Saccharomyces cerevisiae S288C: one gene and its partners. The protein of the gene in region 1 interacts with the protein of each later gene in a biochemical or structural test. Each region holds a gene or a part of one and is shown in the gene's direction. Other genes may lie near its edges.

What was found. The genes of interacting proteins can lie anywhere in the genome.
Region 2: the proteins of CRM1 (region 1) and LCD1 form a complex in vitro, tested with the Saccharomyces cerevisiae proteins (one study listed by BioGRID).
Region 3: the proteins of CRM1 (region 1) and CTL1 form a complex in vitro, tested with the Saccharomyces cerevisiae proteins (one study listed by BioGRID).

The regions. Positions count from the first base shown.
Region 1 is NC_001139.9:930,639-936,354, forward strand, and holds CRM1 (exportin CRM1), read left to right. Parts: upstream 1-1,902; coding exon 1,903-5,157; downstream 5,158-5,716. Other genes in the region: calcium channel protein CCH1, read left to right, coding at 1-177; mitochondrial 54S ribosomal protein uL3m MRPL9, read right to left, coding at 5,436-5,716. UniProt on the Saccharomyces cerevisiae protein: Receptor for the leucine-rich nuclear export signal (NES).
Region 2 is NC_001136.10:1,446,016-1,450,631, forward strand, and holds LCD1 (Lcd1p), read left to right. Parts: upstream 1-1,814; coding exon 1,815-4,058; downstream 4,059-4,616. Other genes in the region: SEC20 (Sec20p), read right to left, coding at 1-979; 60S ribosomal protein eL37 RPL37B, read right to left, coding at 4,183-4,442. UniProt on the Saccharomyces cerevisiae protein: Forms a complex with the serine/threonine kinase MEC1 which activates checkpoint signaling upon genotoxic stresses.
Region 3 is NC_001145.3:621,693-624,813, reverse strand, and holds CTL1 (polynucleotide 5'-phosphatase), read left to right. Parts: upstream 1-1,600; coding exon 1,601-2,563; downstream 2,564-3,121. Other genes in the region: RGM1 (Rgm1p), read left to right, coding at 1-282; YMR181C (uncharacterized protein), read left to right, coding at 734-1,198; SPT21 (Spt21p), read right to left, coding at 2,680-3,121. UniProt on the Saccharomyces cerevisiae protein: Probably involved in an RNA processing event other than mRNA capping. Releases gamma-phosphate from the 5'-end of RNA to produce a diphosphate terminus.

The DNA.
Region 1 (5,716 bases):
AATCTGGAACCTGCTCCAGGAATTTTAGAAAGAGAACCTATTGCGACACCTAGAATGGACTACGGTGTTAACAATTTTATGTGGTCTCCGAGAATGAATCAAGACTCTACGATGGAGCCCCCGGAAGAACCAATAGATAATAATGACGATAGCGCAAATGATCTAATTGATAGATAAATTATATAAGGGCATATTTAAGAGGCTTTATAGATGTAAAAATGAACAATAAGAATAATTTAAATTTGTTTTATTGAGAGGTGATTTTCTAGAGCATGTCAAACTTTACTATTCAGGGAAAAAAGAAAAGAAAAAAATGCGCAAGCCCGGAATCGAACCGGGGGCCCAACGATGGCAACGTTGGATTTTACCACTAAACCACTTGCGCTTACTGATTATATCTTAATGGTTGAAGAGATCTGAATAAGTTTTATCTTCCTCTGGGCAAAGAATACTATACATTGCAAGAGTACCCATTAGAAGGGAATTAATTTATGCACTCTAAATCTTTTTTGATTATTCCGGATATTATTTTTGTTGATAATTAGAGGTAAAAAATAGTATTAATGAAGAAATAAGTATTGATCTTCTTATACTAAATAAGAGAGGTATATAAAACACACGCCGATTGGTCATATTAATCATGACCAATATAATAGTGATTCCGGTAGTTACTATACATTGATGTGACGACTCATATTCCTCATATATGTACCTACCATATCATGTTCAACTAATAGATTTTAAGCACAGCTTCAGTATTGTCTCAGCTTCTCGTTTAACATTCCTTCTGCAATAGGTGCAATCACACTTAAACGTATACGAGGTGTACATTAATATACGATGTAAGCATTATATTGTTACCATAGCAACTCATGTCACTATTAATTACTCTCGTTCCAACAATTTTGTATTTGAAGCTTTAACGGGTGTTAAATGCACAGCCGATACGGCTCATCCGAAAAGTAACGCCAATTATATTAACAGCTTTTCCATTTATTTAGAATGGCGATACAACGGAAACATACGAATATGATAGTACTCAATTGTTGTGTTGGAATAAAAATCCACTATCGTCTATCAACTAATAGTTATATTATCAATATATTATCATATACGGTGTTAAGATGATGACATAAGTTATGAGAAGCTGTCATCGATGTTAGAGGAAGCTGAAGTGCAAGGATTGATAATATAATAGGATAATGAAACATATAAAACGGAATGAGGAATAATCGTAATATTAGTATGTAGAAATATAGATTCCATTTTGAGGATTCCTATATCCTCGAGGAGAACTTCTAGTATATTCTGTATACCTAATATTATAGCCTTTATCAACAATGGAATCCCAACAATTATCTCATCATTTACCCATTTCTCATGTTGTGTACACATTATATACCTCCCAGTTACTGTCAATCCTCTCCTCTTATATCGTTTCAATACAAATAATATATTATGAAGGGCAATATTACATCATTACCCGGAGATATATACTATTTGGAATGATCTTTCTTTATAAGAAAAAAAAAGAATTTCGCAGATTTCCCTGGCTTTCCTTATTCTTCCTACGTTAGCATTATTATGAATTATCGCTAATAGCAAAGGCAAAAAAGATTATCAACTGCAGGATATTCGGTCACAACTTTGACATAGATCTTGAGAACCTCAACACTATTCATTTCTCTGGCCTGATTATTTTAAGTAAAGTCAATCATTGTTAAGTTTTCTTTTGTTCTTTTCTATCATTCTCGCTCTTTCAATTACTTACACCTACAATAATAGACGTTGACCTGTGAAAGGCAAGAAACTTAACTAATAGTATAATTAAGAAGAAGTTAACATTTTACTCTACATTATTGAAACCGCTCACTGACTTCAAAAATAGGATAAAAACATAATATGGAAGGAATTTTGGATTTTTCTAACGACTTAGATATCGCTCTATTAGATCAGGTGGTATCTACATTCTATCAAGGTTCAGGTGTTCAGCAAAAGCAAGCCCAAGAGATTTTGACTAAATTTCAAGATAATCCAGACGCTTGGCAAAAAGCTGACCAAATTCTTCAATTCTCAACTAACCCTCAATCAAAATTTATTGCCCTTTCCATCCTTGATAAATTAATTACTAGAAAATGGAAATTGTTGCCGAATGATCATAGAATTGGAATTAGGAACTTCGTTGTTGGTATGATTATCTCCATGTGCCAAGACGATGAAGTATTTAAAACACAAAAGAACCTGATCAATAAGTCGGACTTGACTTTGGTCCAAATTTTAAAGCAGGAATGGCCTCAGAATTGGCCTGAATTTATCCCAGAACTAATCGGCAGTTCAAGTTCCTCTGTTAATGTTTGTGAAAATAACATGATCGTTTTGAAACTGCTATCCGAAGAAGTCTTCGATTTCTCTGCGGAACAAATGACACAAGCTAAAGCTTTACATTTGAAAAATTCCATGTCAAAAGAATTTGAACAGATTTTTAAATTATGTTTTCAAGTTTTGGAACAAGGTTCTTCAAGCTCTCTAATAGTGGCAACCTTAGAATCTTTACTGAGATATTTACATTGGATTCCTTATCGTTATATTTATGAAACCAATATTTTGGAATTATTAAGCACCAAATTCATGACATCGCCTGATACAAGAGCCATCACATTGAAATGTTTGACTGAGGTTTCAAATCTAAAAATTCCACAAGATAATGATTTGATAAAAAGACAAACTGTACTTTTTTTCCAAAATACTCTACAACAAATTGCCACAAGTGTGATGCCCGTGACTGCCGATCTGAAAGCCACTTATGCAAATGCTAACGGTAATGATCAATCTTTCTTACAAGATTTAGCAATGTTTCTAACTACATATCTCGCTCGTAATAGGGCCCTTCTAGAGAGTGATGAATCGTTAAGAGAGTTGTTGTTGAATGCGCACCAATACTTAATTCAATTATCCAAAATCGAAGAAAGAGAACTATTTAAGACGACATTGGATTACTGGCATAATTTAGTAGCAGATTTGTTTTATGAGGTTCAGCGTTTGCCTGCTACCGAAATGAGCCCATTGATACAGTTATCAGTCGGTTCACAAGCTATCTCAACTGGATCTGGCGCCCTAAATCCGGAATATATGAAAAGATTTCCATTAAAAAAACATATTTACGAAGAAATTTGTTCACAGTTGAGATTGGTCATTATTGAAAATATGGTTAGACCAGAAGAAGTCCTTGTGGTTGAAAATGATGAAGGAGAAATTGTTAGAGAGTTCGTTAAAGAATCAGACACTATCCAATTATACAAATCAGAAAGAGAGGTTCTTGTATATTTGACCCATTTGAATGTTATCGATACAGAAGAAATCATGATCAGTAAATTGGCAAGGCAAATCGATGGTTCCGAATGGTCATGGCATAATATCAACACTTTATCTTGGGCTATTGGTTCCATATCTGGTACAATGAGCGAAGATACTGAAAAAAGGTTTGTAGTTACTGTTATTAAAGATTTACTAGATTTAACGGTCAAGAAAAGGGGTAAAGATAATAAAGCTGTTGTTGCATCGGATATTATGTACGTCGTGGGCCAATATCCTAGATTTTTGAAGGCTCACTGGAATTTTCTAAGAACAGTTATTTTGAAACTTTTTGAATTTATGCATGAAACTCATGAGGGTGTTCAGGATATGGCATGTGACACATTCATTAAGATTGTTCAAAAATGTAAATATCATTTTGTTATTCAACAACCCCGTGAGTCTGAGCCTTTCATCCAAACAATAATTAGGGATATTCAAAAGACAACTGCTGACCTACAGCCGCAACAGGTCCATACATTTTACAAGGCTTGTGGTATTATTATTTCTGAAGAAAGAAGCGTAGCGGAGAGAAATAGATTATTAAGTGATTTGATGCAACTGCCAAATATGGCTTGGGACACTATAGTGGAACAATCCACTGCTAACCCAACATTGTTGTTAGATTCTGAAACTGTCAAAATTATTGCGAATATTATAAAAACCAATGTAGCTGTCTGCACCTCAATGGGAGCAGATTTCTATCCACAGTTGGGTCACATCTATTACAATATGCTTCAGCTATACAGAGCTGTTTCTTCGATGATTTCTGCTCAAGTTGCCGCAGAAGGTCTAATTGCTACGAAGACACCAAAGGTTCGTGGTTTGAGAACCATCAAAAAAGAGATTCTGAAGCTTGTTGAGACCTATATATCCAAGGCGAGAAATTTGGATGATGTCGTTAAAGTGTTAGTTGAGCCATTATTGAACGCTGTACTTGAAGACTATATGAACAACGTTCCTGATGCAAGGGACGCCGAAGTGCTAAATTGTATGACAACAGTAGTAGAAAAGGTTGGTCATATGATCCCACAAGGTGTTATTTTAATTTTACAGAGTGTATTTGAATGCACTTTGGACATGATTAACAAAGACTTCACAGAATATCCAGAGCATCGTGTAGAATTTTACAAGTTATTGAAGGTCATCAATGAGAAATCATTTGCTGCATTTTTGGAACTACCTCCGGCTGCCTTTAAATTGTTTGTTGACGCTATTTGTTGGGCGTTCAAACATAACAATAGAGATGTCGAAGTTAATGGTCTACAGATTGCATTAGACCTAGTGAAAAACATTGAAAGAATGGGAAATGTCCCATTTGCAAATGAGTTCCACAAGAATTATTTTTTCATTTTTGTCAGTGAAACGTTTTTTGTTTTAACCGATTCCGACCACAAATCCGGTTTTTCTAAGCAAGCTTTGTTACTAATGAAGTTGATTTCTTTGGTTTATGATAACAAGATTTCGGTACCATTATATCAAGAAGCTGAGGTACCACAAGGAACTTCAAATCAAGTCTACTTAAGCCAATATTTGGCTAATATGTTAAGTAATGCATTCCCCCATTTAACATCCGAACAAATCGCAAGTTTTCTCTCTGCATTAACTAAACAATACAAAGACTTAGTGGTCTTCAAAGGCACTTTGAGGGACTTTTTGGTGCAAATCAAAGAAGTCGGAGGTGATCCAACAGATTATTTGTTTGCTGAAGATAAAGAGAATGCATTAATGGAACAGAATAGACTAGAGAGGGAAAAAGCTGCCAAGATTGGTGGGTTATTAAAACCTTCCGAACTTGATGATTAGAGGCGGTGGCGTATCATTCTTTAAATTTCCAATATTTTTTCCCTTTTATTAACTAGTCTCTAATTTATAACCACGGGGTTTTCATTTCTTTTTCACTTCATATTGTATGTAAATTGGTTCTTCAAAGTTCCAATACTCTAATATAGTACTAAATACTATTTAGCCAACTTCATGGAAAAGTAAAGAATATTATTTGAAGATTCTTAAGTGATTACCCATTTTATTGTTATTATTGATGTATGTACATGATTGTAGTAAAATACTTATACGCCTTATGCTCAAGTTTTTTTGATTGCATCTTGAATTTTAACGAAACTGTTTTTGGGCCCAGCCACAGAGCCTTTAACCCAAATAACATTATTTTCATCGTCGACTTTCAAAACTTTAACATTTTGGATAGTAACATGCTCGTTTCCCATATGACCAGGCATCTTTCTTCCTGGCAGTACCCTACCTGGGTCTTGGTTTTGACCATAAGAACCACCGTGTCTATGCATAATAGATGTACCATGAGATGCTCTCAAACCCTTGAATCCATACCTTTTCATCACACCAGTAA
Region 2 (4,616 bases), on another chromosome or scaffold:
AGCCTGCATAGCTTTTAACTAGACCTAGGGTGACGAGTATACCCTTGAAAAACTTGAATAGCAGCCAGAGGCCGAGTTTAACAGGTAACTTGAAAATACGACGCCATAGAACCCACGAGACGCAGCATAGGAGGAACCCAAGTGATAAATAGACATCTCGTTTCTCTTGATGGGAGGCATTTTCCAGTACTTTGACCAAATCGGCAGTTTTCTTGAAGACGGTTTCGAATTGAGTGTACTTGTCATCGATTTGTGTTAAGGAATTGGTTTGGGCTCTCAATTCATCCAAATTCAGGTCACTTTGTAAAATTCCGGACTGCAAAATTTGATTTCCTCTCACCAAGTTATTCGTCAGTTGTTTTGTTTTGCTCAAAAGCTTCTCTCTAGTGCTGGCTTTTTCCATCGATGTGGACGTTAAGCTTGACGATGACGACGTTCCTTGGTGAAGCTTGTCGTAATCCACAGCGTGAAATTTTATAGCGCGGTCTCTTTTCTCGTCGTTCCAAGCTAAGTCACGTTTGTGGTGTTGTCGTAGAATCTCTTTGACTTTCAGGCGGTAGCAATAGAACCAATCGACGAATTGCAACACGAAATCCAGTTCTTCGACCAACTGAGCATATATGTCCTCGTTCATTTGTTTATCAAGCTTCACAATATGCAACTTATCGCATTGATCGTATCTAGGGCTTTTTTCCCACTGTAATTTTAATTCGGGGTATTTGTAGGTCATTTCCACAATACTACATTTCAGTACCGATTCGAAATCTGAAACTTTGCTCTCTATAATATTCACCAAATCCTCAAATTCAATCTCTTCTTCTTCATCATTGTGTTCGTTGGCAATGGCTGCAAAACTGTCCTTATTATCATGCTTGCTTTCTCCGCTTTCTTTTCTGCGGGAGATTGCACTTAATTTTTGCAAATTATTTAATAATGCATCTTGCAAAACTTCCAGGTCCTGCAAAAATGTCACGACCATAATCTTTAATGGCTTTATAGTTTGTTATGCGCCTTGGCAGCGTGATCCGATCTTACTTGTTAACTGTATATCAGGTATTTCTGTTGGCATTTTTACAACTGCGAATGTATTTTTCATTATTTAGTAACAATTCTATTTACCCGGACAGCGTGTGCAGGTGATTTATTGATAAAGTCACTGGTAAAGACGTGCTTTCTTTAGTGTGGGATTAGATTTACCACTTGTTTTGAGATTAGGAAAATTCCAACGTTTGCTAAAGGTGCAAACGAAGCTGTTTTGTTGCTTTTCTTTTCTTTATGTAATTGTATTTACCATGATCCTCTTTGGTGCGGCGCTAACAATAGAAAAAAATACACACACATTAGATTGGAATTAGAGCTTAAGTGGTACAAACTAGGGCTAATAAAGAGGTAACGGTCGGTTCTCTACTAAGGTTCGTATTGTGTGGCACCGATGTTAAGCACTTTTAAGCGGAATAACTCGAGTGGAAATTTTATGTTTAGTTAGGTTTTACCTTGAATTTTTTTAAAAAAAAAAGAGTCAGACAGGCTCGCTCTTTCCTACTAAATATTAGGAGCAAAGCAGTAAAAAGTCTCTGAATAAGGATAGTAACCTGTAGTAACTCCAAAATTTATCTTACAAAGAGCTATTAGTATCTTGGTTCTTCTATTTTCTTCGATTATTGGTGATTTTTCCCGCCTCTAGCCAAATCCGAGCGTTCCATCGATTTTTTGGGGAAAACAGCACATGCAATAAAATAAAAAGCAAACAAATACGCGATAGTGCACGAAACGTCAACACAATCATCAAACTCTTTTGCATATTTCTATTATAGATGAGACGAGAAACGGTGGGTGAATTTTCTTCAGATGACGATGATGATATTCTTTTGGAATTAGGCACCAGGCCTCCAAGGTTTACTCAAATACCGCCATCATCAGCAGCATTACAAACACAAATTCCCACTACTTTGGAGGTTACAACGACCACATTAAACAATAAACAGAGTAAAAATGATAACCAACTGGTTAACCAACTGAATAAAGCTCAAGGTGAAGCAAGCATGCTTCGTGATAAAATAAACTTTTTGAACATTGAAAGGGAAAAGGAAAAGAATATTCAAGCCGTCAAAGTTAATGAATTGCAAGTCAAGCATCTTCAAGAGTTGGCTAAATTAAAACAAGAATTACAGAAACTGGAAGATGAGAAGAAGTTCTTACAGATGGAAGCGAGAGGAAAATCGAAAAGGGAAGTTATTACGAATGTAAAACCACCGTCAACAACATTATCAACAAACACAAACACTATAACGCCAGATTCGTCCTCAGTTGCAATCGAAGCAAAACCTCAATCACCACAATCAAAAAAACGTAAGATAAGTGATAATTTACTGAAAAAAAATATGGTTCCCCTAAACCCAAATAGGATTATTCCCGATGAAACGAGTTTATTTCTAGAGTCAATATTACTTCATCAAATAATAGGCGCTGACCTGAGCACAATAGAAATATTAAATAGATTGAAGCTTGACTACATCACAGAGTTTAAATTTAAGAATTTCGTCATTGCTAAAGGAGCCCCCATAGGGAAGTCCATAGTTTCTCTACTTTTGCGATGTAAAAAGACGTTGACCCTCGACAGGTTCATAGATACTTTGCTAGAGGATATAGCTGTTTTGATCAAGGAAATATCAGTTCATCCAAATGAATCGAAATTAGCTGTCCCATTTCTCGTTGCATTGATGTATCAGATTGTACAATTTCGTCCTAGTGCCACTCATAATTTAGCACTGAAGGATTGTTTTCTTTTTATTTGCGATTTAATAAGAATCTATCATCATGTATTGAAAGTACCGATACATGAATCAAATATGAATTTGCATGTAGAACCTCAGATTTTCCAATATGAACTGATAGACTATTTGATAATTTCGTATTCCTTTGATCTCCTAGAAGGTATATTAAGGGTACTGCAGTCGCATCCTAAGCAAACTTATATGGAATTTTTTGATGAAAATATTCTAAAATCATTTGAATTTGTCTACAAACTAGCACTAACCATTTCATACAAGCCAATGGTAAATGTAATATTTAGTGCAGTCGAGGTCGTTAATATTATCACTAGTATAATATTAAATATGGACAATTCCTCAGATCTGAAATCCTTGATAAGCGGTAGTTGGTGGAGAGATTGTATTACAAGATTATACGCTCTTTTGGAAAAGGAAATTAAGAGTGGCGACGTATATAATGAAAATGTGGATACTACAACTCTTCATATGTCGAAGTACCATGACTTTTTTGGGTTAATCCGAAATATAGGTGATAATGAATTGGGAGGATTGATATCAAAGCTGATTTATACTGACCGATTGCAAAGTGTCCCAAGGGTAATTTCTAAAGAGGATATTGGGATGGATAGCGACAAATTCACTGCCCCTATAATAGGTTACAAGATGGAAAAATGGCTTTTGAAGTTAAAAGATGAAGTTTTAAATATTTTTGAAAATTTATTAATGATCTATGGAGACGATGCGACCATAGTAAATGGAGAAATGCTCATCCACTCCTCTAAATTCTTATCCAGGGAGCAAGCGTTAATGATAGAAAGGTACGTGGGACAAGACTCCCCGAACTTGGACCTCAGATGCCATCTTATTGAACATACTTTAACCATAATATATAGGCTATGGAAAGACCATTTCAAACAATTGCGTGAAGAACAAATCAAGCAGGTAGAAAGCCAATTGATTATGTCACTATGGAGGTTTCTCGTATGCCAAACCGAAACTGTGACAGCAAACGAAAGAGAAATGAGAGATCATCGACACCTTGTAGATAGTTTGCATGATCTGACGATAAAGGATCAAGCCTCTTATTACGAAGATGCCTTTGAGGATTTACCAGAATATATCGAAGAAGAATTGAAGATGCAATTGAATAAAAGAACGGGGAGAATAATGCAAGTAAAGTACGATGAGAAATTTCAAGAAATGGCAAGAACTATTCTTGAGTCAAAATCATTCGATCTAACCACACTAGAGGAGGCCGATTCATTATATATCTCAATGGGACTGTAAGGCAACAATCAAAAGGGGAAAATGTCAACGCTTTATAGAAACCTTGTAATGCTTAATATTAACTATATATAATTTATATTATTTTCGTTTTAGGAAAGAACAAAACTTATAGATAATATCAAATTTAAGCAGAAGTAGCCTTAGCAGAACCGGTTTGGAAACCGTTCTTAAATCTTCTGGAGACATGCTTCAAATATCTCATTCTACCGGTACCAGTAGTGTGTCTTCTCTTTGCCTTGGCAGCCCAGTTGTGAGATCTAGTCTTAGCGGATGGGTAACCACAAGAGGAACAGGTCTTCTTTTGAACATGGAAAGAACGACGACCACATCTGTTACACAAGGTGTGAGATTTGTTGTGACGCTTACCGAATGAAGGAGTACCCTCTGTTTAAAATGAAAACATAAAAGTTAATTATCGTTAGTAAAACTTTGAACTAAATAAACTCTACTGCTGGATTCAGAACAACTTCATTGGCGGTCTAGATGTGTGTTGCTGTCTTACACTATTTCTTCTCACCTTTTTGTATTGACACTCAAATCTTTTTATTCGCTCTTTAT
Region 3 (3,121 bases), on another chromosome or scaffold:
AATCTGCCCATATCAACTCCTGCTAGCCCACAAGACACTATATCTCTTTACGCACCACCATACTTCCCTCATCCTATGCCATCTGCTCCCATACCATTGCCGCATCAGCCTCCTCCACTACCAATATACAGCTATATGCAACCACTCTTCCTGAACCACACTCCCATACAAAACCACAACATTGTAGAGCTCCCTCCAGATAGCAGTGACACTCCAGCATCGCCGTCTAAGGTGCAAAGTTTTGACCAGGCCAAGGACGCTTCACCAAACGCAAAAAAATAAGCTCTACCGCACCCACTCCTCCATTTCACAAGCCGCATCATTGCTGCTATTGTACCCTCTTGGCCATTCGCGTGCGCGTTGATTGCCGTTATTATGCAGATATTTTGATATCGCTTGCCGTTTGGCTCATCTCCGCGCCCTTAAAATATATCCGCTTCTGTTGGGAAATGCCGAGCATAAAAATGCCGAAAATATAAAAAGAACAAGAACAATACCCTTCGAGGGAAACGCTATTTTCCTGTCCACACAACCTTAATTAATTCGCACGTCTGTGCCACCAAGTAGCAACTGGTTCGTATTGCTTTATCTTTCTTGCTTGTTATTACATTGCTGTAAGATAACAAGCAGCGTTTTACTCTACGGATTGTTTATAAGGATTTTGTTCCTCGACCCCTTATATTTACTCACCTTCCCCCTACTCTAATTCTCCTGATTTCAGAACAAAAAAAAAATGACTCCACTTTTGCAGGCGGAAGCAAAAATGAACACAAGCCTCTACCTTACGGAAAGCATCCAACAACATGAATTCAACCTCACCAGCCCTCAGTCATTCTATTCTTCTCCCTCGGTACCCAATAGTAAAAATAACTCGGGCATTTTCAGCTATAACACTGCCAACAACAGTAGGGTGAGTTCTAGTGATGAATTCACTACCCAACAAGACGGCATGAACACCATAATGTACAAAAACAACATCAGTAAAACTTTCGAAGACGACATCTTTTATTGTCCAAGAAGTTTGCTCACCCCAGAAGAACAAGTGGTATACCAGGAAATTGACAAGTATTACATGGAACAAGCACTATTGACCCAGTTACAAATCTCCCAAACGTATTCCTCCACTCCTAAAGAGGAAAAGATAGTTAAGTTCAATCCCTACACTTCGAAGAGTTTCAGTCCAGCTTCTTCTGAATAACTAACGAGAACACGTTCACTACAGACATGGGGCTTCTTTTCCTTTTTTCATTTTCTTTCTCTTATTATTCTGGGTATTTCTTATTAATCGGTTGAACTATGTATTACGTCGAAATTTCTTTAATATTTCTTTGTATTCTTCACGACGAATTGTTCATTTCATTTTACTCCATTTTTTCAGTATTCCTGGGGCTACAGGTATATGTGGCAAAAAATTTTTTTTCTATTATTTGACGGGATCTCCTATATATTTTATACACTTTTACAGGAAAAAAACTTATTAGTTTTCAATATTTTCTTTATTTTTTTTTCCTTAAGACAACTTTGTTGACTACCAGCAAAATGGGAAAGAAAAAAAAAGCACTGAAAAGGAAAAATGAAAACACTATAGGAAGTTTAAGATATGTCTGACCAACCCGAGACTCCTTCCAATAGTAGAAATTCTCATGAAAATGTTGGCGCAAAGAAAGCTGACGCTAATGTTGCCTCGAAATTCAGAAGCTTGCATATCTCTGAAACCACTAAGCCATTAACATCAACTAGAGCTTTATACAAAACCACAAGAAACAATTCAAGAGGTGCGACAGAATTCCATAAACATGTTTGTAAGTTAGCATGGAAATATCTTGCTTGTATTGATAAATCGTCGATATCACACATTGAAATCGAAATGAAATTTGGTGTTATAACAGACAAAAGGACACATCGCAGGATGACACCACACAACAAGCCCTTTATTGTTCAAAACAGAAATGGCCGCTTAGTGTCTAACGTTCCTGAGCAAATGTTCTCGAGTTTCCAGGAGCTACTCCGCTCAAAATCGGAGAATCCAAGTAAATGTGCCCCAAGAGTAGTAAAACAGGTACAAAAGTATACGAAAGATTCTATATATAACTGCAACAATGCCTCGAAAGTTGGCAAATTAACTTCATGGCGTTGTTCGGAAGACCTTAGAAACAAAGAACTTAAACTTACTTACATCAAAAAGGTCCGGGTCAAGGATTTTCTCATTCGCTATCCTCAAAGTTCATTAGACGCTAAAATTAGCATCAGCCTTGAAGTGCCTGAATACGAAACTTCTGCCGCTTTCAGGAATGGCTTTATTTTACAAAGAACCAAAAGCCGTTCCACCTACACCTTTAATGATAAAATGCCTTTACACTTGGATTTGACAAAGGTTACTACCACGCGAAGGAACTCCCATCAATACACGTCCCATGAAGTGGAGGTAGAAATGGATCCTATATTCAAGGAGACAATTTCCGCTAATGATAGGGAGAAGTTTAATGAGTATATGTGCTCGTTTTTGAATGCCAGCGACCTTATACGTAAGGCTGCAGAACGCGATAACATGTTAACGACATGAAAATGCTAATTAAATACTTCTTTTTGTTCTCTATAAGGTGCTACATGTATGATCTGAGTATATATATATATATATATATATACATGCTGTGCTAGGAATAAGTTCATGTAATATTTTCAGTGTTTTATTGACTGAAATTCACCGATGGGACTTGTTACTACCTGACTTACTCTTATTCCTGAATGGATGAATGTTGAGAATAAATCGTTGGTCTTATCGCTTTCATTATCATCGCCGATATTGTGTCCTTGCTCTTCTTCAACTATGTCCTCAGATAATTCCATGGGTTGATGATAATTGAACATCCCACATGGTGAAGACGGTATTGCCTTTTGCTTTTTGAGGGCTTCCTCCTCTTCCTCTTCATCCAAAACTTCTTCATGAGATCTCTTACTTTGCTGAGTTTCCAGCATGCTAGTAAGCTTTTTCGAAGCTGTAACATTATTATCAGAAGCTGGCTGGTCAGCTGGAGTAGAGAAATTTATAAGCCCTGCCTGAGGTTTTGTATTGTCCGAATCTATTACAGATGCCTTTCTATCTTTTATATCATTATCACAT